Linked DNA regions of Macaca fascicularis. Each later gene encodes a partner of the first gene's protein in a complex. Links are inferred from orthologs where the notes say so. Each region holds a gene or a part of one and is shown on either strand. Other genes may lie near its edges. The genes, in order: CWC22, CWC27, PLRG1, SNRNP40, CRIPT and EIF4A3.

Evidence for each region.
Region 2: the proteins of CWC22 (region 1) and CWC27 are in contact, whole or in part, in a crystal structure (PDB 6YVH), measured with the Homo sapiens proteins. The link is inferred for Macaca fascicularis from reciprocal best matches to the Homo sapiens genes CWC22 and CWC27. Residues at the interface, in NP_001362958.1 of Homo sapiens: Leu239, Arg242, Lys243, Tyr245, Arg246, Asn248, Asp249, Lys250, His270, Glu271, Val272, Leu275, Glu276, Thr279, Leu280, Leu281, Glu283, Arg284, Thr286, Asp288, Ser289, Val292, Val307, Ser308, Pro309, Arg310, Gly311, Thr367, Met369, Leu372; in NP_005860.2 of Homo sapiens: Arg381, Glu382, Asp383, Gln384, Thr385, Leu386, Leu388, Leu389, Phe392, Lys393, Lys395, Leu396, Thr397, Ile400, Glu412, Asp415, Asp416, Glu417, Gly418, Trp419, Met420, Ser421, His422, Val423, Leu424, Gln425, Phe426.
Region 3: CWC22 (region 1) and PLRG1 share a complex: the UniProt entries of both Homo sapiens proteins name them as parts of the minor spliceosome. The link is inferred for Macaca fascicularis from reciprocal best matches to the Homo sapiens genes CWC22 and PLRG1.
Region 4: CWC22 (region 1) and SNRNP40 share a complex: the UniProt entries of both Homo sapiens proteins name them as parts of the minor spliceosome. The link is inferred for Macaca fascicularis from reciprocal best matches to the Homo sapiens genes CWC22 and SNRNP40.
Region 5: CWC22 (region 1) and CRIPT share a complex: the UniProt entries of both Homo sapiens proteins name them as parts of the minor spliceosome. The link is inferred for Macaca fascicularis from reciprocal best matches to the Homo sapiens genes CWC22 and CRIPT.
Region 6: the proteins of CWC22 (region 1) and EIF4A3 are in contact, whole or in part, in a crystal structure (PDB 4C9B), measured with the Homo sapiens proteins. The link is inferred for Macaca fascicularis from reciprocal best matches to the Homo sapiens genes CWC22 and EIF4A3. Residues at the interface, in NP_001362958.1 of Homo sapiens: Thr129, Gly130, Gly131, Ala132, Tyr133, Pro135, Pro136, Ala137, Lys138, Arg140, Lys164, Asn167, Gly168, Ile170, Asn171, Lys172, Val173, Asn174, Ser176, Asn177, Ile180, Ile181, Glu184, Ala207, Ser208, Ile210, Phe211, Tyr215, Lys330, Arg331; in NP_055555.1 of Homo sapiens: Met43, Gly44, Ile72, Ile73, Lys74, Gly75, Gln98, Cys99, Met183, Gln213, Val256, Ala257, Glu259, Trp263, Asp266, Thr267, Asp270, Leu271, Tyr272, Asp273, Thr274, Leu275, Thr276, Ile277, Thr278, Gln279, Ala300, Asn301, Phe302, Thr303.

Annotation. Positions count from the first base shown.
Region 1 is NC_088386.1:75,511,567-75,515,066, reverse strand, and holds part of CWC22 (pre-mRNA-splicing factor CWC22 homolog), read left to right. Parts: intron 1-267; coding exon 268-345; intron 346-940; coding exon 941-1,093; intron 1,094-2,721; coding exon 2,722-2,849; intron 2,850-3,500. UniProt on the Homo sapiens protein: Required for pre-mRNA splicing as component of the spliceosome. As a component of the minor spliceosome, involved in the splicing of U12-type introns in pre-mRNAs. Promotes exon-junction complex (EJC) assembly.
Region 2 is NC_088380.1:70,438,320-70,442,450, forward strand, and holds the start of CWC27 (spliceosome-associated protein CWC27 homolog), read left to right. Parts: upstream 1-1,331; 5' UTR 1,332-1,546; coding exon 1,547-1,588; intron 1,589-4,131. UniProt on the Homo sapiens protein: As part of the spliceosome, plays a role in pre-mRNA splicing. Probable inactive PPIase with no peptidyl-prolyl cis-trans isomerase activity. As a component of the minor spliceosome, involved in the splicing of U12-type introns in pre-mRNAs.
Region 3 is NC_088379.1:159,465,751-159,469,832, reverse strand, and holds the start of PLRG1 (pleiotropic regulator 1), read left to right. Parts: upstream 1-1,282; 5' UTR 1,283-1,368; coding exon 1,369-1,377; intron 1,378-2,751; coding exon 2,752-2,858; intron 2,859-3,141; exon of another isoform or gene 3,142-3,213; intron 3,214-3,837; coding exon 3,838-3,980; intron 3,981-4,082. UniProt on the Homo sapiens protein: Involved in pre-mRNA splicing as component of the spliceosome. Component of the PRP19-CDC5L complex that forms an integral part of the spliceosome and is required for activating pre-mRNA splicing.
Region 4 is NC_088375.1:203,728,177-203,731,676, forward strand, and holds part of SNRNP40 (U5 small nuclear ribonucleoprotein 40 kDa protein), read left to right. Parts: intron 1-2,456; coding exon 2,457-2,579; intron 2,580-3,500. UniProt on the Homo sapiens protein: Required for pre-mRNA splicing as component of the activated spliceosome. Component of the U5 small nuclear ribonucleoprotein (snRNP) complex and the U4/U6-U5 tri-snRNP complex, building blocks of the spliceosome.
Region 5 is NC_088387.1:75,424,960-75,429,123, forward strand, and holds the start of CRIPT (cysteine-rich PDZ-binding protein), read right to left. Parts: upstream 2,801-4,164; 5' UTR 2,714-2,800; coding exon 2,698-2,713; intron 1,231-2,697; coding exon 1,165-1,230; intron 372-1,164; coding exon 317-371; intron 1-316. UniProt on the Homo sapiens protein: As a component of the minor spliceosome, involved in the splicing of U12-type introns in pre-mRNAs. Involved in the cytoskeletal anchoring of DLG4 in excitatory synapses.
Region 6 is NC_088390.1:86,553,680-86,557,833, reverse strand, and holds the start of EIF4A3 (eukaryotic initiation factor 4A-III), read left to right. Parts: upstream 1-1,354; 5' UTR 1,355-1,436; coding exon 1,437-1,605; intron 1,606-4,154. UniProt on the Homo sapiens protein: ATP-dependent RNA helicase. Involved in pre-mRNA splicing as component of the spliceosome. Core component of the splicing-dependent multiprotein exon junction complex (EJC) deposited at splice junctions on mRNAs.

The DNA.
Region 1 (3,500 bases):
GGTTCATACTTATCATGAATTTAGAATTTTATAATTAATATAATTAGTATAATGACTGTGGAAGCATAAATGACTGTCAGCCGGACCCAAGGCTTTAAAAAATTATGAGTTTAACATAGATTGAGGTTTTTATTTTATTTACAAAGTTTTTGAAGTGTTTTAAACCCTTATTTAAAAATGCAGGCAGTCACTATCATACTAGTAAATTATATAATATTTAGTCTCTTTGTGTTTTGAATCATTAATGTATTTTTTTTTCCCAAATAGAAAGAACTCTGCAACATGATACTTGATTGCTGTGCCCAACAGAGGACATATGAAAAATTTTTTGGCTTATTAGCTGGGGTGAGTTCCAGCATCTACTAAGGGAATTCTTAAAACAAATATTGTAAATTAATTATTTCTGCTTTATGGTCTGGCCTCATATAACAACATATTACCATTTTTGCTAAAAGCAAATTATTCTCTCCTTCCTCAGGTTTCCCGCTGTCTTCACCTTCCTCTTTTTCTGCTTCATTTCTGCAGTCCTTTAACTTTGCATATCACTTTTCCAGAACTTTTTGGAATTTTCCATGCTTTGTAACAATTTCCCAATAGAGAACAATTAAATACTGTCTTTTCAAAATCTCAGAGCAGTTTCTAAAGTCAAGTACATGTTCAGGCAGCTCAATTAAAGCATGATCTACAATATTTCTTTAAGCTCTACCCACATGTGATCAGCTATATGTATGATTTTGTTTTAACATGTAAATCTCAGATAATTATAAACCATGTATATTAACTTCTTTTTTGAGCATCAAATGGCACAAAAGGATTTAGTGATATATGCTCTTTGAAAATATAAAACATATTAAGTTTTGATTCAGTAAATTTAGGATTTAATATGCTCATAATTGTATTAACATTCAATTTTTAATGGTACTGATTTTTTATTTATTAGCGATTTTGCATGCTGAAGAAAGAGTACATGGAATCCTTTGAAAGTATATTCAAAGAACAGTATGATACCATCCATCGCCTGGAAACAAACAAATTGAGAAATGTTGCTAAGATGTTTGCTCACCTTTTATACACCGATTCACTTCCATGGAGTGTAAGTACATGGGTCAATATTTATACTTCCTTCCTAATTCCCTATTATTCTCAAATAGATTTTGGTATAAGCTAGCTATATTTATCCTATTATGAAATGTGCTTTAAAATGAAATGTGTAGAACTGCTGTCTTTAAGATTATCTTCATGTAATAAGGAATCAGAAAGCTAGGTAAGTAATACACGAGAAATACTGTCTTTGTATTATATTAACTGTCCAAACATGCCAGTGTTTCAATATGATGGCTAGGAGTGTCTTCAGGAAAAATACTGCAGATTTTCGTGTTCTCTTTGTACACACACATGCACGCACACTCACATCCACATATGCCACTATTTTGGTGGTAAATGTGTCTCTGAATTACTCTCCCTTGATTCCTAAGGGAATAACTCTCCGTGGATCCTCTTGTTGGGTTTAAGAAAAATGATTGTCTTAGAAAGATTCGTTCTTTTTAGCAGACATTGAAGTTGGGTAAGCTATAGAGAGGATATCCTATAGTCATAGAAGAAAGAAAGATACATTCTTGATGGGGAAATGTGCACTGGATTGAAATTTAGAATGCTTTCATTAAGTTGGCATTTATTTTACAGCTGTTATTCAACCACTGTTAGTTAGCCACCACTTATATACTGAGTCATTGAGAGAGGTGCTGGGTATTCAAAGTGAATTATACATGGCCCCTTCTTTCAGGAGGGTTACTGTGTAAGATCAGAAGTAAGATATGCCCATAGCAATGATACAAAATAAAAAGTCTTAGATTCTAAGAAAAGCAAAATTGCTAAAGGAATAGAAAGAAAGAAAGAGAAGAGAAGAGGAGAGGAGAAATTACATCCAGGAGGCAGGAGGAAAGAACAGGATTATCTTGTAGAATGCCATCCTACTAATGGTAGAATGCCATCGTACTAATGGTAGAATGAAGCAATATCTCAAACTTATAAACATTGGTTAGATTTTTATAGTACTTTTAAGTACCAAGTATGTCCAGCTGCATTAATAGGCATTTGTAATCTAACCTAGGAGACTAATTGTAATAATTTTTGACTTCTTTTTTCCCCTCTTTGAGAAAATGAAATGAGAATTTTAAACAATTAACTAATGGGCCCCCCGAACACATAACCCATAAAAACTGGAGGTTACTTTTATTTTTATTTGCCCTAAAAATATTTCTTTAGGCATTTCAGTTTTTAAGCCACAGTCTTAATATTCAGAATAAACCATCATACTTTGTCTTTTTTTTTAATCATATGTGTGGTAAACAAAATTGTAGTCTAATGTGCTAAGTGGCATTTTGCCCCAAACCCTCATATACACCACATTTTGATGAGTAAGGTATAGGAGCTAGTAATCTTTACCATTATATGCTCAAGAGAGGATATCTTCCCTGCTATAAAAAGCACATTACTCAAAACAGAGAATGAAATCTATTTCTGTAGCATCTTAACATTTTGAAAGTTAGTATAGAGAAGTTTTAAACTTTGTATCAGCATTAAGGGGAGATATTCAGAGATAACTCTGGTTGAAGATGGGAATAAATAGTAATTTTGAGAAACAAACCTACAAATATTGGTCACTCTGTCCTGTCTTTTATAAATTTAAATATACTTGTCTTTTTAAACTTTAATTTTCAGGTTCTTGAATGTATAAAACTGAGTGAAGAAACCACTACATCATCCAGTAGAATTTTTGTCAAAATATTTTTCCAGGAACTGTGTGAATACATGGGTCTTCCTAAACTTAATGCAAGATTAAAGGATGAGTAAGTTTGCCATTAAGCACTTTTTATTCTTACTGACCTCTGGTTTTCTCTCATTGTAGCAGATATAAGCCCATCCAAGATTGTAAAAACAAGTACTAAGCCCCCTAGGACATTAATCACTATGAATCTCATGTTATGTCTCACAGGACAACGTGCAACTTTTAATGGTGGTTTTTAGTTTAAATGGAGTTCAAATTAATGCCTTTTTAAATTTTCTTAGAAAATACAGAATTATTTTTGTATGCTCACTTGAATTCTCCAGTGATATTTATAATTTTATTTTCTTTTTACCCTAATTTTAAGCCTTAGAATGATAACTAATATTATCAGTGGACAATTTTGAATATATATTTCATCTATTAATAATTTTTCAAGTCTATTGCATGGAACTAGAGCCTTATTTCAGGACTATTATGTAATCCTCTCTCACCTTTCTTATTTCCTATTTATTCAGATTGCCACTTAGATTGACTTCTACTCCATTGACACTACTGAAATCATCTTTTCAGATTTCTCAGTGACCACCTGTCATATTCAGTTGTCTTTCTCAGGCCGCATGCCTCTTTACTTCTGTGCCTCACTTACGCAGTTGACCACCTGCTCACTGTGGCTCCACACTTCTTCTCACTTCCTCTCTCAGTCTCCTCTTCA
Region 2 (4,131 bases), on another chromosome or scaffold:
ATCTGCAGAAAGATGTTCAAAAAGGCTGCCACAGAACAAAGAATCTGGTCAAATAATACTGGGAAGGGCAGGTTTAAACAAAGTTAGGGCTCTGAACCATAGTAATTCTCAGAATCTTTTCTATTACTAAGGCGCACTGTGAATTTCCAAGTTGGGAGGTGGGGTGTAGGAGTGTATATTTCTGAAAATGTCTCCTGCAACCACTGTTCTGCAGTGGCAAAGCCAGTTTGAGGAGACGCTCTCAGCTACTAGAACTTCCAAGTAAGCTGGTAGTTGAGGAGAGAAAATCTTTTAAGTAATTATTCTGCAGAGTTCACCGTTTTTAGGTCAGTAACTTCTGGACACAGAATTTGAGAGTTAGAATAAATCTTATATATAATTCAACAAAGCTCCTTCTTTTTATAAGGAAACTGAGGCCCAGAAGCACAAAACGACCACTCTATGGCCACGGAGCAGCTACATACAACAGGAAGAGCTAGGAGTAGAACCCGGACACCCGGTGGGTCCTAGCGACTTCTAGGACAGACGACGCCTCTGGTTACCTGGGTCGGCCAAGTGTTCCCACTTCAAATTTTAGTTTTAAGCCATACCACAGTTAAGGTAGTTTTTCTTGGCTGCTCGCCCCCTTAGGCCCACAGTTACAGTCTCCCCCTCCTCCCTCCCTTCCACAATACACTTTCCCTGTAATCCCATGCAGCTGGGGCTTGGCTCCTGGGGGAAGACAGTTACTTTCTTTCCTTCAGAGTGTATCTTTGGAGTGTAAACTTTTTCATGTAAACAAAACAAACCTGTGAATTTTAAGGCCTCCGCCTAAGTCCCCATAGGCACTGATCCCCACACCCCGCACCCTACCCTACCCTCCCTTGTGCTCCCTTCGGATCTCGGACGCAGAGGCCCTGTAATTGCTCCTTACCTGGGACTGCCATGACGATGGTAAGGGGTCACTTGAGCCTCCGGCTTTCGAAGTGGCGCTTGCTTCCCGCCAGCTGCGAGAACAAGGCACAGCCAAAGCGCCGTTTTCCTTCCCCCAGCGCAGCAGCACCTTCGCTACGGTGAGGAAGGCCCTTTACGTTTCTAGCGGCAGCAGAACCAGTAGACGCGGATGCAGTTTCCGGACGAGTCATAGTGCAGAAGACACATGGTCCGAACCATTACTGATAGTTTTTTTTGGGGGGGGTCAGTTTGATCTGCACACGCGAGTAGTGTAAACACAGCCAAGACTTATGAAGTGTCCCTTCTAATATTGTAATACAAATTACATTAAGCTATAATAACTTTACAGACTTCTCTCGTTCCCTGGAGTACACTGGAATAACCCTTCTCAGGGTTAGCGGTGCTCGGGTCCGGTAACAACATGGCGGCGTCCGTGAGGGGCTCCTTTAGGCAAGGGTAGTGTTTGGTGTCCCCGTCTTGCGTGATATTGACAAACTGAAGTTTTCCTGCACCACTCGACTTAAGAAAGAGTGTACTCCTAGGCGGACAGCTTTAGTGACCGGCCGTCCGCTCTAATCCCTCATAAGGAGCAGAGTCCTTTGTACTGACCAGGATGAGCAACATCTACATCCAGGAGCCTCCCACGAATGGGAAGGTGAGAGCCTCATCTAGGGAACTTGGGGTCCTGGGATCTCCAAAGTGAGATTTCCCAAATTTGGGGTGGGGGACGGGTTTCGGGATCTCGGGGTAGGAAGAGACCACGATAAGTGTTGTCTTTATTCCTGCATGTGGACAATGTTGCGTCGAAACACTGAAGTTTATACTTTTCAGGACGTACTTGAAAAAGTCAGGTGGAGATTTCTCTACCTACCAGCATTCCGGTCCTGTTTTCTGCTTTAAGCCAGCTCATGCAACCGATTTCTAGAGTCTTAGGTTTTTAAACGTACATTTCTGAGTTTGATATATTCTTTGCTTAACTTTGAGGTCATTCATTCTGCATTTCTTCTGCAATCATTAATTGAACGCCTGCTAGGCACTGGGCACTGTACTAGGCGCCGGAGATACAAAGATGGATGGGTAAGGTAGTTGTTTTCCCGGAAGAGCTTATAGTTTAGTTTGTGAGACAGGTAAACAAAAGCCTGTATGTCTGATAAGCGTGCTTGTGGAGAAGAGACCAGGTTGCTATGGCGGTACTGAGTAGTGAACAACTGGGAAAGTTAGGAAAAACCTCATGGAAAAGGTATCTTTTGAGCTGATTTTAAAACCTGAGATGACTGTCAGTCAGAGAAAGTGGGAAATGGGGACTGTTACCACATTAGAGTGGGGAAAGGTTTCTCTAATTGATTTGATGGCTAATGTATGCCAATTCCCATCCAAGGTGTTTGTGTTGAAGAGTCCGTTGTGGAATAACTGTCACCTGAATTCTTAAATTGAGACCTAGCCTATCTCATATGAAATTTGATGAATCAGCATATTGGAGAAAATGAGATTTAAAGTATATAGTTGAATTAAGATAAGCTAAATTTACACAACATACCATCCTGTTCGTTACATGATTACATCATAAATAATTTATGCAGTCTTTTATTCATTGACATTTGATAATATAATGAGAGCAATTTAAAAGCAAAACCAAAAATGCTGTAATTCCCAGCAAAAATTTAATGGGTATTTTGGGCAGCTCAATTCTTTCAATTCTTTGAACTTCTCCTGGGCATTGTAGGTTACTGGGTCCATCCCACCCCTCACCTATCTTATTTAATATCAATGTGAAAACCCAAAATACCTACCTCCTCCTATTTCCAAATGTTTCTTGAGGGCAGTATCACCCCCAGTTAATAAATACTGGTAGAGATTGAATAGATTTACCATACTGCCAGACAGGGCGTTCACACTTGCTGTTCCTCTGTTTAATCAAGTGTTGACCTTAGCAAAGAGTCCTTTCTTACCTACTTTCTATGAAATAGCAAACTTCAATCATGCCTTGCATCCCAGCATTCTCTGGCCCCCTTAACTTTTTTAGTTTTTTTCCATGGTATTTATTAATTATTTGGTATTACTGTATCCTTCCTCCTACCTTCCCCCTATAGAATGCAAGGAACATCAGGGCAGAGACAAGCATCTAGAACAGTACTTGATACATGATAGAAGGAGTTCAGTTATGTATTGAATAAACGAATGGATGGATGAATTAATACTATATTTTTCTTAGTTTTTTGAGGAATATTAAGCATCAGTGAGTTTGAGGTTACACTGCTGCTGGTCAAGGACAGACTTAATTGCTTTGTTGTAAAGGAAGATTTGACATGGTCACATAGATGAAAAGCTTTAACAAGGATATATTCCTGAATAGATTATTCATTCAACAAATAATGATTGAGCAAATCAATTGCCAGGCTCTATGCTAGGTTTTAGGGATACAACGGAAACAAAAAAAACCACATTGTCTGAGTTATCATGAGTTAATTGAGTGAAGTATACATTGACTGAATAATCATGCAAATAAATGTTTAACTACAAAATGTGATAAATACTGTCTTCTGAACAGAAATGGGCTGAATGATAACACAAGGGCCCAAGTTTTCATCCAAAAACAACTTGGGACTTTTTCCACCATAAGGCTCATCAAAGATATTAAAGCTTCTAAGTTCTGTAAGGTTGAGAGTGTGGACAAAAATTTGGTGTGTAAAGAATTTGAAGCAAATGTAATAAGTCTGTTCAATGAATGTTTATTGCCTTTACTATCTAATGGTACATTAGGTACTGAAAGGGTACAGAGACATTCAGAGTAAATGGGACAAAATTCCTCCCTTCAAAGTGCTTAGTATCAGCTTGGGAAGTAATTGATAATGATACCAGTGCTTGGTCCCTGGTTGTCCATAAATGTTCTGTGTTTTGCTGTAACCCTAGCCCCTGAAGATGAGGCAAAGAAATATAGTACTTGATAGAAATTTTTTAAGCATAAGAGGTAATTCCCTGAAGATGAAATTTCCACATATTATGATCACTTATTCTAAATTGTGTCTGGCATCTTCACTTAGCATAATGTTGCTTTCAAATGATAGGGGTCTGTCTTATTGTTGTACACACTTAGTTTTTAAATGTATTGAAAATCAAAATGGCTTTATAAGTATATTTGCATATATATTTATAAGAAACATGATATTATCAAAGTATTAATTGGGAATTTTAAGAGAA
Region 3 (4,082 bases), on another chromosome or scaffold:
CCATGCCTGTAATTCCTGCACTTTGGGAGGCCGAGAGGGGCAGATCACCTGAGGTCAGGAGTTTAAGACCAGCCTGGCCAACATGGTGAAACCCCGTCTCTACTAAAAATACAAAAATTAGCCGGGCGTGGTGGCGGGCGCCTGTAATCCCAGCTACTCCGGAGGCTGAGGCAGGAGACTCGCTTGAACCCAGGAGGAGGAGGTTGCAGTGAGCCAAGATTGCGCCATGGCCCTCCAGCCTGGGCGACAAGAACAAAACTCCCTCTCAAACAAACAAAAAACCATGACCTTAATGTTTTTAATGAATTTCCAAGTGACGTTGATTTACACTGCTATTCTTTTGCTAGATTGTTTCCCCCTCTCAAAGTGTATGCAGTACGCTGTCAGGACAGATCAGTGAAACTGAAACAGGGCCAGTAAAATGTTTTGTCTATTTAAGTTTGCAAATGCCCAAGTCCATCCATTTTTCTTTTTACATAGAAAAATAATTAGGTAGGGTTGATCAAAACCGGAGATTTTACCAGGGTAGGAAGCAAAAATACCAATACTTGGCACAAGGATATGTATAAATAAAAATGGCTAAAGTCTCCAATTGTGTCTTTCTTCTACCAGCTTTGAAAAGCTGTACCCTGGCATTGTTGAAGCCACAATAATCAGCAGACAACTAGGAAATGTCCAAGAGCTATGTAGCGTTGAGAAGTTAAAAAAAAAAAAATCTATTAGCAGAAAATGAATATGGGTTTTTCTTATATCTACATGTCAAAATTTTCCAAATTAAAACAGCCATTCCTCAACATTCACTCAGCAAGTGTTTACTGAACTGTTTAAGCGAAATTGTTTTCAGGTGTTAAGCCTACAAGTGTCCAAGTGCTTCTCGCCAGGATTGGAACCAGGAGACAGAAAGCAAGCAGGCGACCTCCAAAGAGATCAAGGCAGCGGAAGCGCCTTAGATAGAGCCCACGGGAGTTTGCTCTCCAGAGAGCTTAGGCTCTCTGAATAAAAAGCATTAAACTCCGGGGAATACAGCATGAACAACCAGGGCCCCAGCCAAGACATTGAAGGCTGAAGGTAAGGCAGAAAACATAATTCGAAGACTTCTTCAGAGGAGCGAGTGAAATCCTCCAGTCAGGCGCTTCCAGGTGTCTCCCCTCTACAGCCTCGAGCCTCCGCCCTAGGGGCGGTCCTGAGGAGGGAGACCCGCCTCTTGATCCCAGAGGGCCGGGGGAGACTAGCGCGCGTGCGCAGAGCTTGCATCACATCCGCCGCCTGGCCTCCCAATTCCGGAAGGTGCAGCACAGTTGTGGCGGCGGGTACTGCGTTAGTGATTAGGGTTTCTTCTCTGCCGGAGGTGGGATACGCGGTAGCATCATGGTCGAGGTAAAGTGACACTGGGACTCTCAAGAGTCGTTTGTCTCTGGACTGTTTTTCTTTGGCAGTGGGCTTGGGGGATTGAGAGTGCTTGGAGTCCGGAGAGAAAAGAGGCTACGAGGGAAGCTGTTTGGCCAAGGCCGGGTGGTCTCTTCATCGGGTTTTCGGGGAAGGGGTAGAAGCCGGATGAGAACCCGAGTCGGAGGTTCAGTCCGGGCGCTAAGCCTGAGATAATTCGTCCAGTCCTCGTTTGACTCTTGGGAGCTGGAAACTGTCCTTGGAGGCGGGGCCTCTGTTGGTGTTCGACCACTGGTACTCGCCGCCCTCGGGGCAGTGTCAGTGATTCTGTGCCCGAAAAGATTGGCGGTCTTCTCTATCTTGCGTTCAAGTCGTCTCTTATTTCAACTCTACTCCCAGAAAAACTTGCCATTCTTTACATCTTTCCCTGGCATGAACAGCCAGCCATTCTGTTAGCTGGTCTTGTCCATGTTACCCCACATGTTTATTGATTCCATTCACTTTTCTCCGTATCCACTGCAGTCCACCTTAATTGAGACCAACATCATCTTTCACCGGGCCTGGTGCATTAGCCCCCCGTTGATTTCCTTGCTTCCATTTTGTTCCATAAGTTGTTCTGTTTAAAATGTAAGTTGTTCATACCTTTCTTGTTTAAAACCCTTTACTGACTGTGTTGCTAGAAGAAAACATAGGCTGTTGTAATAGTCTAAAATACCTTACCTAATCTGGACCTTGTCTACCCTTGCAACCACAAAGCACCATCTCATCCACCATATACAGCTGTGCCGCCCTTCTTGTATTATTTCAGTTAACTGAACATTTTTTTACATGACATTTCCATCAGCCTGGTTCGTTTTTATCTCTGTTTTGTGCAAGGCTAACTCCCTTTCTGCTTAAATATCACTTTAGTGAAGTCTTTCACAATTATACTTAGTCCTTCGTTTCCCGACCCAGTGCCTTGCTTGTTGCCCTCATAGCACTTATCAAAATGTGGAATTATTTTACTTTTTATTTGTCTGTTTCCTCTTGAGCACAGGGACCATGACTACCTTTTATCATTCTATTGTGAGATTCTAGCACGATACCTGCCAGACACACAGTAGGAGCTCAGTAAATATTTATTGAGTAAATGACTAAACTATGGCATCACTCAGTTGCTATACCTGAGGTTCTAGCCAAAGAGGAGCTTCCTCCTCTTCTCTGAACTTGACTCCTGTAGCTCGCAACAAGTAGCTATGGTGAGTGGTATAAAGCTTTTTACATATTTAAACATGTGAAGTGTATAATCAATCTGACGTTAGGTTATGATTTGTGTAATTTGTAGATAGGTGTGTAATTACTTTTTTTTTTTTTTTTTTTTTTAAGGAGGTACAGAAACATTCTGTACACACACTTGTGTTCAGGTCATTGAAGAGGACCCATGACATGTTTGTAGCTGATAATGGAAAACCTGTGCCTTTAGATGAAGAGAGGTTGGTATAGTTTTTTTTTCAATTGCTGAAATATTTAACATTCTAATACTGGGGGAAGAGAGCAGGAAGAGGGAGACCTTTAAAGATAAACTGGCAATACTCATGGGCTAATTCAATAATGAGTGGTGTTTTGGCATAATTTAAGCTGATTTAACTTTTTTTTTTTTTGGCCTTTTACAGTAAAAGTTCCATTAATTAATTGCATTTTACAAATACCCAGTAATTAAGAGAGTCCCTTTTAGGTATTTTATTTTATAATCAATCACTTTGTATGTGCTTTCAGCTTCCCGCTGCTCTCAGAGCCTTGCTGAGCTGAAATTGTACCTGGCCAGTACCTCTACTCCCATCTTTTCTCGTTAGTATGATGAAGATTTTTGAGTGGTGGCATATTTTTGGTTCTACATATCCAGCTCCAGTCTGGGATTGCATTATGTGCAGTGTTCCTTCTTTGTCCTTTACCCTTTTAAAATCGACTTAACTCCTCAAACAAGCATTTATATTTAATTTGTAAAGTAGACTATTTTTAAAAGTAATATAAGTGCATTTCTTTTTAAAATATTGAACCAATTAAGTACTTTTCTTAGTTCTAACTAACCTGTTTGGATACATCTAGTAAAGGTTGCTGTAGAGTTTTTACTATATTTATATTTTGAAGGAAAGCGTATTGACTTTGAGGTTTCTTAAAGGGTATGTTAGTTTCTATATATCTTTCAAGCAGACCCTTGATAATTTATCATAAAATATTTTCTATTAGGTAACAAACTAAAATATTACTTAGGTTTAATGAATGCTGTGTGGTGGAATGTGAGCAAAAGAACAGATATGGTGGGGAAATGCACTTGGAAATTTTTGATTCTTTTAAATACTACTTAAAATCTTACTAGAAACTTTTCCTACATGATTGGGCAAACTTAAGCTGTCTAAGTGTTTGTTTTAAAGTATTTATGGATACGTTCTTATGTTTATAATTTCTAAATAGTCACAAACGGAAGATGGCAATCAAGCTTCGTAATGAGTATGGTCCTGTGTTGCATATGCCTACTTTGAAAGAAAATCTTAAAGAGAAGGGTCCTCAGAATGCAACGGATTCATATGTTCATAAACAGTACCCTGCCAATCAAGGTGAGTATGGTATTATCAGAAATGTCAGACGTATGTGTGAATTTTAAAAATAGAAAAATAAAATGTGTTATTTTTGCCCCTGCTGGCAGGACTTAGGTGTGG
Region 4 (3,500 bases), on another chromosome or scaffold:
GCTGGGATTACAGGTGTGAGCTGTCACACCTGGCCTGTTTAGTGAATTTTTGAACTAATTTTGTAAAGTTTGTATTCTTTGTCCTGTGTTACCACTGAATTCTTTTTTTTTGTTAGCTTAGTGGTCAGCTAGTGAATGACAGAAGTTTCCTAAATTACCTACAACAACAAGAACAAAAGCTCTCCCAGTCTTTGCAGATTGTCTTTTGGTATGTTGGAGCCTGCCTTCAACTCCTTGCTGTGCAGTTTACATCTCTCCTTAGCTTTCACTTCCTGCTTGTGCAGAGCCTGAAGGTCAACCAGAGAGCTTATGGCCTTCTCAGATCTTTTCTAAGTATGTGCCCAGCCCTGGACATGCAAGTGGTCTAGATTGCCAGGGATGGGCCAGGCATGGTGGCTCATGCCTGTAATCTTAGCACTTTGGGAGGGCGAGGCAGACAGATCACTTGAGGCCAGGAGTGTGAGACCAGCCTGGTCAACATGGCGAAACCCTGTCTCTACTAAAAATACAAAAATTAGCTGGGTATAGTGGCACGCGCCTATAATCCCACCTACTCGGGAGGCTGAGACAGGAGAATTGCTTGAGCCTGTGAGGTGGAGGTTGCAGTGAGCCGAGATCGCACCACTGCACTCCGGCCTGGGTGACAGAGGGAGACTCTGTAGGTAGGTAGGTAGGTAGGTAGATAGATAGATAGATAGGTAGGTAGGTAGGTAGGTAGGTAGGTAGGTAGGTAGGTAGGTAGATAGATAGATAGATAGATAGATAGATAGATAGATAGATAGATAGATAAGATAAGATAGATAGATAAGATAGATAGCCAGGAATATGTCAGTGCTTTTCAAAACTCTTACTCCCCAAATTGTCTCCTTCCCCAGCCCTTCCTCCCAAGGTTTTTGGTTTGTATTTTTGCCCCAACTGTTTTTCCTTGCCCCCAGGCACCAGAGGCTAATAATATCCTTTCCTTTAAATGTTTTCTTTTTTTTTTTTTTTTTTTTTTTTTTTTTTTGAGACGGAGTCTTGCTCTGTCACCCAGGCTGGAGTGCTGTGGCCGGATCTCAGCTCACTGCAAGCTCCGCCTCCCGGGTTCCCGCCATTCTCCTGCCTCAGCCTCCCGAGTAGCTGGGACTACAGGCGCCCGCCACCTCGCCCGGCTAGTTTTTTTTTTTTTTTTTTTTTTTTGTATTTTTTAGTAGAGATGGGGTTTCACCGTGTTAGTCAGGATGGTCTCGATCTCCTGACCTCGTGATCCGCCCGTCTCGGCCTCCCAAAGTGCTGGGATTACAGGCTTGAGCCACCGCGCCCGGCCTAAATGTTTTCAAGGAAAGTTCCAAGTTAGACAAAATAAATGTAAGTCCTGGCCGGGCGCGGTGGCTCACGCCTGTAATCCCAGCACTTTGGGAGGCCGAGACAGGCGGATCACGAGGTCTGGAGATCGAGACCATCTTGGCTAACACGGTGAAACCCCGTCTCTACTAAAAGTACAAAAAACCAGCCGGGCGAGGTGGCGGGTGCCTGTAGTCCCAGCTACTCGGGAGGCTGAGGCAGGAGAATGGCGTAAACCCAGGAGGCGGAGCTTGTAGTGAGCCGAGTTGGCGCCACTGCACTCCAGCCTGGGCGACAGAGCAAAGACTCCGTCTCAAAAAAATAAATAAATAAATAAATAAATGTAAGTCCTTTGAGCTTATCCTTCAGGGAGCCACCAGACAAGTAAAAATAAACAATTTTTATTGTTTATTCTTTGACAATAAGAAATAGGCCCCCCTTTGCTTCCTCAGTACTAGGAAACCATACTGGGAATATGGGTTATCTTCAAAGCTGTTGCTGAGCGGGAGACAGAGCCAGCACAAGTTAAAACACTACAAAACCCTTTTACTGGGACTCAGGGGTTTTTTTGTTTCCTTTTTCCTCATTAAGGGTTTGCCTGGTTACTATAAACTTTTGATTAGTTATGAGAGTTCCGACAGTTGATTCTGACAGGTTTTTGCTGGTTCATTTGTTGTTTTGTGGAAGGACAAGCTTTTGTCATTGTTTATTATACTATTTTCACTGACGTACCCGCTCTCTATTTTTTTAAATGTGGGTTGCAGCCCACTAATGAATTAGTATCTACAGTTTGAAAAAATTGTCTGATATCCTTGTTGTCCTAAAAAATATATGAACCAAGTAATTAGTGGAATTCCATTCTAAGAGTATGTTGATTTAACTCTGTTTATTCACTTTAACAAAGAAGTCTGAAAATATAACTGAAGTTTTGTTTCACCAGCCTTCAAATGTCTTAGCAAAATTGAGGACACTGCTTACCATGTGTGTTATTAGGATATCCAGGAGTTAGTGAAATGGGATCCCAATTATAGATGTGTTCATGTTCACAAAGTCCTTGTACTTAGGGATATTTGTACTGTGCAGTTACTTCTTAGAATGATATTAATGATAGACCCTGTTGTCCTTTGCTTCAGCTTTGGGACATCCGGAAGAAAGCAGCCATCCAGACATTTCAGAACACGTACCAGGTGTTAGCTGTGACCTTCAATGACACAAGTGATCAGATTATTTCTGGTGGAATAGACAATGATATCAAGGTATGTTTGATGTTTATGATATATTTCCATTTCACCCATCTGCACTTAGAAACAAATTTTTTCAAACTTCTGAAATTGTGGTAGCTTTGCACTTAATACCAACTGAAAGGAAAATAGTAATTTGGAACTTATTTTCTTTTTCTCCTGTCTTCATTGACTTCCTAAATTAAAGGTTGCACTGCAGATCTTATAAATGCTGTCAGGGACCAGGCACTTAATGTGAAGTGTGAAGTCTCTGTAGGGGGACTATGTAAAAAATAAAGAGTGCATTTCCTTTTAAAGACATTCAGAATCTTTTTTTAACCATCTTAGTTTAATGGGAGCAGTGAATCAGTTTGTGATTCTGTATCCTCATCTCTCACTGTGTTTTTCTTTTTGACACTATGGAAAGGGAGTTTTCTAAGTTTCTCTAAGAATGAGAGAAGGTAATGATATTAAAGAGGCAATAGACCATATGGCAGTACAGTGTAGCTCAAACTTTCAAGTAATTGACTTGAGTTCTAATCCCAGTTTCACCATTTTCTAGTTTTGTGACTTCAACACCTTCTTTAAGCCTCTTTTTCTTGTGTGAATGCTGAGGGGGTAGTGATAACAAAAACTACCACATGGCATCTACCACATACCATTGTAGCGATTAAATGAGCCTGATTAGAGCACTTAGCAGAATTCCTGGACATAACAAGTGCCAGGAAATGTGTTATTTTGGTCCTGCACGGCTTCTGTCTTCCTTTCCTATTGGCTTCCTTGGGGATCTTAACGACTTTGACCTTACCTTCTGCTTTATAGTGAGAATAGTAACTGTCAGATAAATACTCAACTTTCTGTGTTGTCCTTTCCTAGAAGTTGTACTGTATTTCCATCCCTCGTTGTTTCCTTTGCTGTTACTTTGGATGAAATATCCTTGCTTTTGGCCAGGTGCGG
Region 5 (4,164 bases), on another chromosome or scaffold:
TCCAAAGCTTACCATCTTTCCACATTTCCCTGCTGTCTCTGATTCATAGGATAATTAAGAAGGAGATAAAATACAAGTCATGTTTTCTGGTGAAACTGTAAGAGAATAACACTAATATCTTCATATATTGATACAGCCAAGGAGGAATAAGGTAAAACCAGCAGGATTGTAACAGATAGCTTGGTTCTGAGTGCTATGAACCACCTACCTTTATGTTTTATTGCAAATGGAATGATGCACATCAAATTCACTCCAGCAGACTTAATACTAAAAGAAAGGAAATTTATATGATCTGTCTATGGATGCTCTTACCCACCTTGCTTTTTTTGAAGTCAAAGCTTTATTTTCATTCAGCTTTCTCCCACCACTTTCTGTATCAGAATAAAAGATATTTTAGTGGGTTATTTCTATACATTTAACATAAAACATTAAGAAGTTCATTCTTTGACTTTCTACCAAAATAGTAGTCTGTATCTAATTTTTAAATCCTCATTTAGTAGGCTATTAAGACACTGCTTAAAAAGAAAACATTTATTAGGGAAACAGTAAAAATTTGTATAAAATACAATCATTTTATTTCTCAGACTCAAGGGAGTACTTTAGGAATGGGTCTATATTTACTCTATATAGTGTAAAATCTAGAAGCCACTACTTCAGTGTCATAGACCTTCAATATAATGAAAATGTTTATTTGTCTACGCTTTGAAAACATACTTTACTATATGTATTTAATAATAATGAAGGTAAATACTTCATTATAAAGATTTAATGATAATGAAGGTAAAATGGGTTAAAGCATTTATTTATTCAAGAATATAAAAATCAGAAGATTTAAAAAAATTTCTCCTCAGAAGAGTGGGGAAATTAAAAACAGACTCTAAATAAGCTGAATCAAATCAAATATTGTGATAATCAAATACTGTGATATTGTCACCACTTGACAATCATTTAATAATTTTGCTATCTCCTGATATTGGGAACCCATACAAGTAACTGAGAACTAAATAAAAGATATTAAATCACTTGGGGACCCAGTATTCTTTAATATTTAATAGATAAAATACTTTGAACATACAACATTTCATTGTACAAATAATGTAAAAGCTAAAATATAATTCACAGTAAGTATTTGGTTAAATTCCTATTTTCTAAAAGAAGAAATACCTGTGGTATTCCTAGCACCATCTTTCCATGTATCTGGAGTGATAACAGTACCAAGTTTCTTTTCACCTGTTAGAACAAGATAGTAAAAGGAAAATTAAAATTTACTATTTCATAAGTGCATTACATTGTGCCTAAGGCTCACAATGGTATCGACTATCAATGCTATTACCATAGGAGCCTGTTAATGCTGAGAAAGCAGCCAGTCAACTGAGACTCATATTAACTGTGGGCAATGAATGACTGACCGTCGGTAAAATTCGCAGGATAATAAGATGGCTTATAATAAGCTTTCACTGTTTGTTTATACTTTTAAAAAATCCAATAAGTCTATTTGTTCCATAAATATTTACTAAGCATCTATGATGTATAAACTATAGAAAGTGCTGAGAAAAAGTGATGAATCAGACAAAATTTTAATGAGATTATAGTATACTAATTTCTTTAACAGCAATCTGTAACCTGGGTTCCCCAGGTGGATCTTAAGAGATATGTGAACAAGGTGGAGTTGTACACAAACCTTTTATATTTTCAGTTTTTTTTCCTGGCAAGAGGCTACAGTTTTCATCAGATTCTCAGAGGGATCACAGACCGTCTCCCCAAAAAGAACCATTCAACCAAAATGTAAGCTAAAAAATAAAAGATATAATAATTGAGAACTAAAGTACTAGGAGAAATTCCAGGCAGGAAAAAATAACCCTGGCTAAGGAAATCCAAGAAAACAAAGTTTGGAGAGAAGGCAAGAGAGAGGATTTGAATATGTGGCAACAGGACTGTGAACAAAAAGGAGTAAAGAGGATGAACGCAAACTAGATAAAGGACACATTCTGAGGAAAGGCATAGAAAGCTTAGAGTACACATGGGCACAAAGAGTATTTTGTTTGGTCAAAGTGTGAAGAGGATGAGGGTCAGTGAAAATGAAGCTGGAAAAATAAGTTAGCGCCTTAGTGTGGAGGGTACTGAACGTCAGGTTCCAAATATAGAATCCCCAAATTATTCTCTGCACACTGAGAGTTTATTAAAGGATTTAAATTAGGGAAATAATAATTTGCACTTACGTTGATGTTCAATTCAAACATCTCTGGGTTTACTCTACGCCATATCCTGGCATAATGACTAATGAGAATGAATAAGGCAAAGTCCTAAGTCTTTGGTTCCAGTGTCTAACATTTGGCAGGAGTACAATACTTGTTACACGAATAAAAAGGAAAGGACAGGAATTGCCAAGAGGGAAAGGTGTCGCTGGGGTTTAACTGAACATTTTTATATGGGAGGGGAGCCGATGAGATCTGGGGCTGGGGGAAGGCAATGGAAATAGAGAGGGAGGTGCAGAACTGAGACCATTCTGAGTACAAAATACATAGGACTGTATGGTCGTTGGGGAGGTGCAAAAATGGTCAAAGGGTAGGGTAGAAAGACAGCGGCTAGAATCAGAGACCTGTGGGCGAAAAAAACAAAGAGAAGGCAAAGTTCCCGGGAGGGCTCAGTTAGATTATCCCAGCCTCCTCCTCCCGCAGAAGCAGCCCCTTAACTCACATTTTTCGCACACCATCCTTCCCCACGACAGTTCCCCTAGCCGCAACAGGAGCAGCAGGAGCCTGAAAACATCAACACTGTAACTGGGAAGTATTCCCCTTCCGGGCTACGTCAATCCACTTCCGGCTTCTAAGCCCACCGCTCCCGCCTACCCCAAACCTGGAAAGCCGCGGGAGGAATGAACGCGAGCGGCTAGGTGGGGCTGCCCCATTTGCCCGCCCCTCCCTTTCTGCGACTGGCTGTTCGGCCGTGGGTGTCCGCCCCACAACCCTGCGTCTGCGCGTGGGCCTGGGCCTCCTGTCGTACCTGATGGTGGGAGGCAGTAGTTCCCCGCTTCCCTTCCGCGGGCGGGAAAGTTAGGTAAGCCTCGCTGGACTTCCCAGGCGCTCTCGCCTCCCGGGGTGCAAGTCACCCCCGCGAATTGCCGAAGCAGCCCTGAGCCTCGGCGCCCCGGCCCGCCAGCTCTCGCCGTCAGCTCGAGCGCCACTCTTCCGGCGTGCCCTGATGGACAGACCCCCTTTCGGATCCGAGTTTTTGCCTCTGTCCCCCAGTTTTTCTTTGTCTCCAACTCCCGAGCTCTTTGATCCTGCTTCTCAGCTGGTTCCTCGCTGCCCACGCTCGCGCCGGCCTAGGGTCGGGCAGAATTCCCAGCGACCAGGGTTGGGGTGGAGCTGCCGGTGGAGGTGCGGCGATGCCCGTGAAGGCTCCTCTGGGGGCCGCTCTGAAGAGCCTTCTCTCCGCTGCGGTGCCTGGGGAAGGTGGGCCGCGTCATGCCCGTGGCACCCCTGCAGGCGCCCTGGGGGCACGCCAGGGCCTAACACGGTGCTGGTTTCCCAGGAGAGTTGGTTTCCCACTTTGCCTACTCTGGTTCCTTCATTCACTCAGCAAACGGTTGAGTTTGGTAACTGCTCACTGTATTACATCCACATCTGATGGCAGCTGCGATTCCGAGGGTGGCTCAGAAAAATGGCTGAAGGGCTATCTGTTGAGAGAATGGATTCCTGATCCCCTTGCCCTCCCTCAATCAGCTTAAGAGAATCTATGGGAAAGTTTACCATTGTCCCTTCTTGCCATCCGTTTGCTTCTTCATGCCTAGTGTATTTCCTTATACCAGAGAGAGAGCTGTAGCGCGTGGGACCTTGGACCACCTCACCTGTTTGCCTTGTTTCCTTATCAGTAAAATATCTGCCTTTGAAAAGCACTGGGTGAATTAAATGAGAGCTATTAGGATAAGGCCCAGGTTCGCCCTTCTGCTTTTCACACTAGCGGGCGCCCCTCCGCGCGCGCGCGCGCCCACGTGTGTGTGTGTGTGTGTGTGTGTGTGTGTGTGTGTAGTATTTTTTTCTGAGATATTTCTATTTTCTGGAATATTCTCCATAGTGTAACATATTGACTGTTACTTTAAATTAATAAAGTCCTTGTTTAACAGTACAATTAACTCTCAGGTAATTTAAATACGTGTATTGT
Region 6 (4,154 bases), on another chromosome or scaffold:
ACTTTTCCCACAGTTAAAAACATGATTCTCAACAGCGTGAACTGCCCTTCAAAGATGATGGAGCTGCTTCAAAGTGCATTAGAGGAGCTGGGTATGTAGAAGCACTTCAAGTGTCAGATAAGAAAGTGGTTAGGACTGTGCGTAGCAGCGGCACCTGTGGTCCCAGGTACTCTGGAGGCTGAGGCGGGAGGATCGCCTGGGCTTGGGAGGTGGAGGCTGCAGTGAACGGAGATCGTGCCATAGCACTCCAACCTGGGCGACAGAGCCAGGCTCTGTCTCAAAACAAATGAACTAAAAGCAGGTTAAGATGCGCAACTGGTTACCGTTCTGCTGGGCAATTACATGATCCCGTCTGGGTTATCTTTGCTGCAGGACACGCATTATTAACACCGTCTAGACAGGAGGCTTTCATTAAGAGTAAATTGCAGGCTCTGCGTGTATTTTACTTTATAACAGCTGCTTGCCGGGCACAGTGGCTCATGTCTGTAATCCCAGCACCTTGGGAGGCCAGGGCGGGCGGATCACCTGAGGTTCAGGAGTTCAAGACCAGCTTGGACAACCCTAACCCCCACCCTTCCCCCAACACCGTCTCTACAAAAAATTTAAAAAAATTAGTCGGACATCATGGCGCGCGCCTGAGGTCCCAGCTACTCTAGAGGCGGAGGCAACAGTGAGCCCTGATCCCACCGCCGCACTCCAGCCTGGGCGACAAAGAGAGACCCTGTCTCCAACTGACCAGGCAAACGGCGAAAACACACACAGGCGCGTCCCCAAAGACACCGGCATTAGAGGCCCTGGCCCTCCCCAGCGCAGACCCGCCCGAGCCCAGCGCCGCGCCGGCGCCCACCACCGGGGGCCGTGAGGGTTTCCACCCGAATCTCCCCGGCGAGCTGGGCGCCCCCACTACGGGTCCGCGACGCAGTCCACCCAATGCGGGCCCGAGAGAGGACCCGTGTTCGTCCTCTTCATTCGAGGCGGGGCTGTGTGGCGACGCCACCCGGACTGGAGGCCCCTGGCGGCCCCCAGCCTGTTGTCAGGGGATTCAGGGCCGCACGCCGCTCAAAGAGCCTTAGCGTCCCAAACTGCCGCAACCGCCACAAAACGCCACCAACTCTGGAAATCCACCCGCTTCCGTACCTTTTATAAGGAACTGGGTGCCCCGCCCTCAACGAGATCCCGCGAGAACTGCATATGGCGCGAGAGCAGAAACATCTTACTTTTTCCTGCGGCAAACGCCCAGTTCCCTTTCAAGTGACGAAGAGTGCCCCGCCCCAGAGGCGGGGTCGCCTCGCGCGCACGTACGCACGCACATACGCACGTACGCACGTCTTACGCTTTCTCACGCTAAGGCGTCAGTTCTCGGCCCCGGCAGCGAGAAGAGTCGGGAGGTGGTTTACGCTGTGGCGCGCGCTGTGCTCTTCCGCGGACTCTAAATCATGGCGACCACGGCCACGATGGCGACCTCGGGCTCGGCGCGAAAGCGTCTGCTCAAAGAGGAAGACATGACCAAAGTGGAATTCGAGACCAGCGAGGAGGTGGATGTGACCCCCACGTTCGACACCATGGGCCTGCGGGAGGACCTACTGCGGGGCATCTACGCTTACGGTGAGTGGGCGCGGGCCGCGGGGGCCAGCTGGCGGCGAGCCGGGGGCTGAGAGCCCGACTGGTGACTCCCGGGCCGGCCCTGCACTCCGGAGGTCGTGGTCAGGGTCGAGGCTCGGGGGCCAGTGACGTGCGCCCCCCCCCCCACCCCTGCCCTCACGCCTGGCTGTGTCGGCGCGTTCGCTGTGTGTCCCCTGTGCAGAGCTCGGCGCTGGGTCCGTCGGGGGCTACAGCCGCTTCGAGGCACCTCGGAGTCGTTCATTCAGCAGATAACTGTTTTGTACCTACTAACTTTTCTAGTTACTGGGGTTTTGGCGGTAAACCAGATGGGTTTGCGCCTTTACGGGTTTTGAATTTCCTTTGGGGGGACAGCATGCGGTCAGATTGCCCAGGCAGTGGTTGTTGCTGGGAAGAACCCGAAGCTAGGTAATTGAATAGAGTGGGCCTGGGAAGGAGGAGATAATTAGTAAAGCAGAGAGGTAAGGGGGTTCGCAGGAGGGGTTGCCATTTGAGCAGAGGTATGGATGAAGGAGACTTTTAGGAGAGGAGGGAAGAGCAGTTGGGGCAGAAGGAACAGCTGGTGCCAGGGCTTTGCAGCCCTTAGCCAGCTGCATTCCAGGAACTGAAAGAAGTCCCCTGTGGTGGGATTTTGGAGAGCTAGTCAGGGGCCAGATTTAGCAAAGACGTGTAGGGGTGACGAATAATTTGAATTTCATTTGGAAATCTAGTGGGAAGCCACTGGAATGTAGTAAGTAGCTATGTGACACGATCACATTTACAGCTTTAAAGATTCTTCTGGGTGTCTGTGAATTTCAGGTGAGGCGAGGCAGGGCAGGAGAGGAAACAGAAGAGTTGGGAAGCTTTTGCTCCAGTTAAGGGAAGAGAGGATTGTGCTGCCTTGGAGATGGAGTGCCAGGGAACTGACAGCATTGGCTGATGGATTGACTGTGAGTGACAGGAGGAGGAGGGTTGGTGTTTTGAGTAACCAGTGGTTGATGCTGCAAACATGTGGCTAGGTAGGCAGCACTCCAGAGAGTCAGAATCAGGAGTTGTCTCTTGGTATGTTTGAAAGATCTGTGGAAGTTGAGAGAGAGCCTGGAGAAGAGATTGGGTTGGGCACATAGATGGGAATGGCCAGCATCTGGGGTAAATGGCCTGTGTTTAATGCTTGGGACAGGGACATTTTTTATCCTGTAGTTCTCTTTTCTTTCTTTCTGACAGTCCTGCTCTGTCACCAAGGCTGGACTGTAGTGGCATGATCTCGGCTCACTGCAACTTCTGCCTCTGGGGCTCAAGCGATTCCTTTGCCTCAGCCTCCCAAGTAGCCGACCACCATGCCCTACTAGTTTTTGTATTTTTAGTAGGGATGGGATTTTGCCATCTTGCCCAGGCTGGTCTTGAACTCCTGACCTCAGTGGTCTGCCAGCCTCAGCCTCCCAAAGTGATGGGATTACAGGTGTGAGCCACCCCACCTGATCTTATCCTGTAATTCTTGATGCCACAACAGTTTGGACAAAGTGAGGCGAAGGTGCTGAGGATGGGTGGTGAGAAAGCATCTCAGCCAGCCTTCCAGCGAGGCTGACAGCCCCACCTGGTTTCCTGGCACTCAGGCGGTCCCTGCCCTAAGACACTGTTGTTAGTTTCCCATCCATGTGCTTGCTCTTCCTGAAGAGTTTAAATCATCTGCTATATTTGCTTTTGTGTTAAGATGGGAAATTGTGCTACATTTTCTTTTGTTTCTCATTTTTCGCTATGCCCCAGAACTGAACAGAGCTACATTTAAGAGACTACCAAAAAATAACTGAACTAGAGTTTTGTACATAAAGTTTTATTTACTTACTTGAAAAACACATGGTTCTTCTTCAAAATAGCCTCCCCCTTTGGTGTAGTAGTTGCTTTGCAGGAGAGATGGTATGGTAGTTAGTGAGCTGCATCCAGACAGGAGAACAGCGTAGGACACCCCACAGTGTGACCCAAGCAGGTTAAATAGAATTGTAGACCTGTCAGCAACACACAGACTTAATGCTAGCTAGGAGGAGAGAAGAATGGCTACAGTGACTTTCCTGGTTTTTTTTGTTTTTGTTTTTAATTTAAAAAGTAGTATAGGCCGGGCGCGGTGGCTCAAGCCTGTAATCCCAGCACTTTGGGAGGCCGAGACGGGCGGATCACGAGGTCAGGAGATCGAGACCATCCTGGCTAACACGGTGAAACCCCGTCTCTACTAAAAAAATACAAAAAACTAGCCGGGCGCGGTGGCGGGCGCCTGTAGTCCCAACTACTCGGGAGGCTGAGGCAGGAGAATGGCGTGAACCCGGGAGGCGGAGCTTGCAGTGAGCTGAGATCCGGCCACTGCACTCCAGCCTGGGCGGCAGAGCGAGACTCCGTCTCAAAAAAAAAAAAAAAAAAAAAAGTAGTATAGGTTGTTTGTAATCCAGTCAAACCTAAGGAAGTAATTAGAGTAAAAAGTTAGCTGCTTTTCACCCCTCTACTGCAGTAACTGCCAGGAACATTTTGGCACTTATACTTCCAGATGCTGCACACCCAGAAGATTA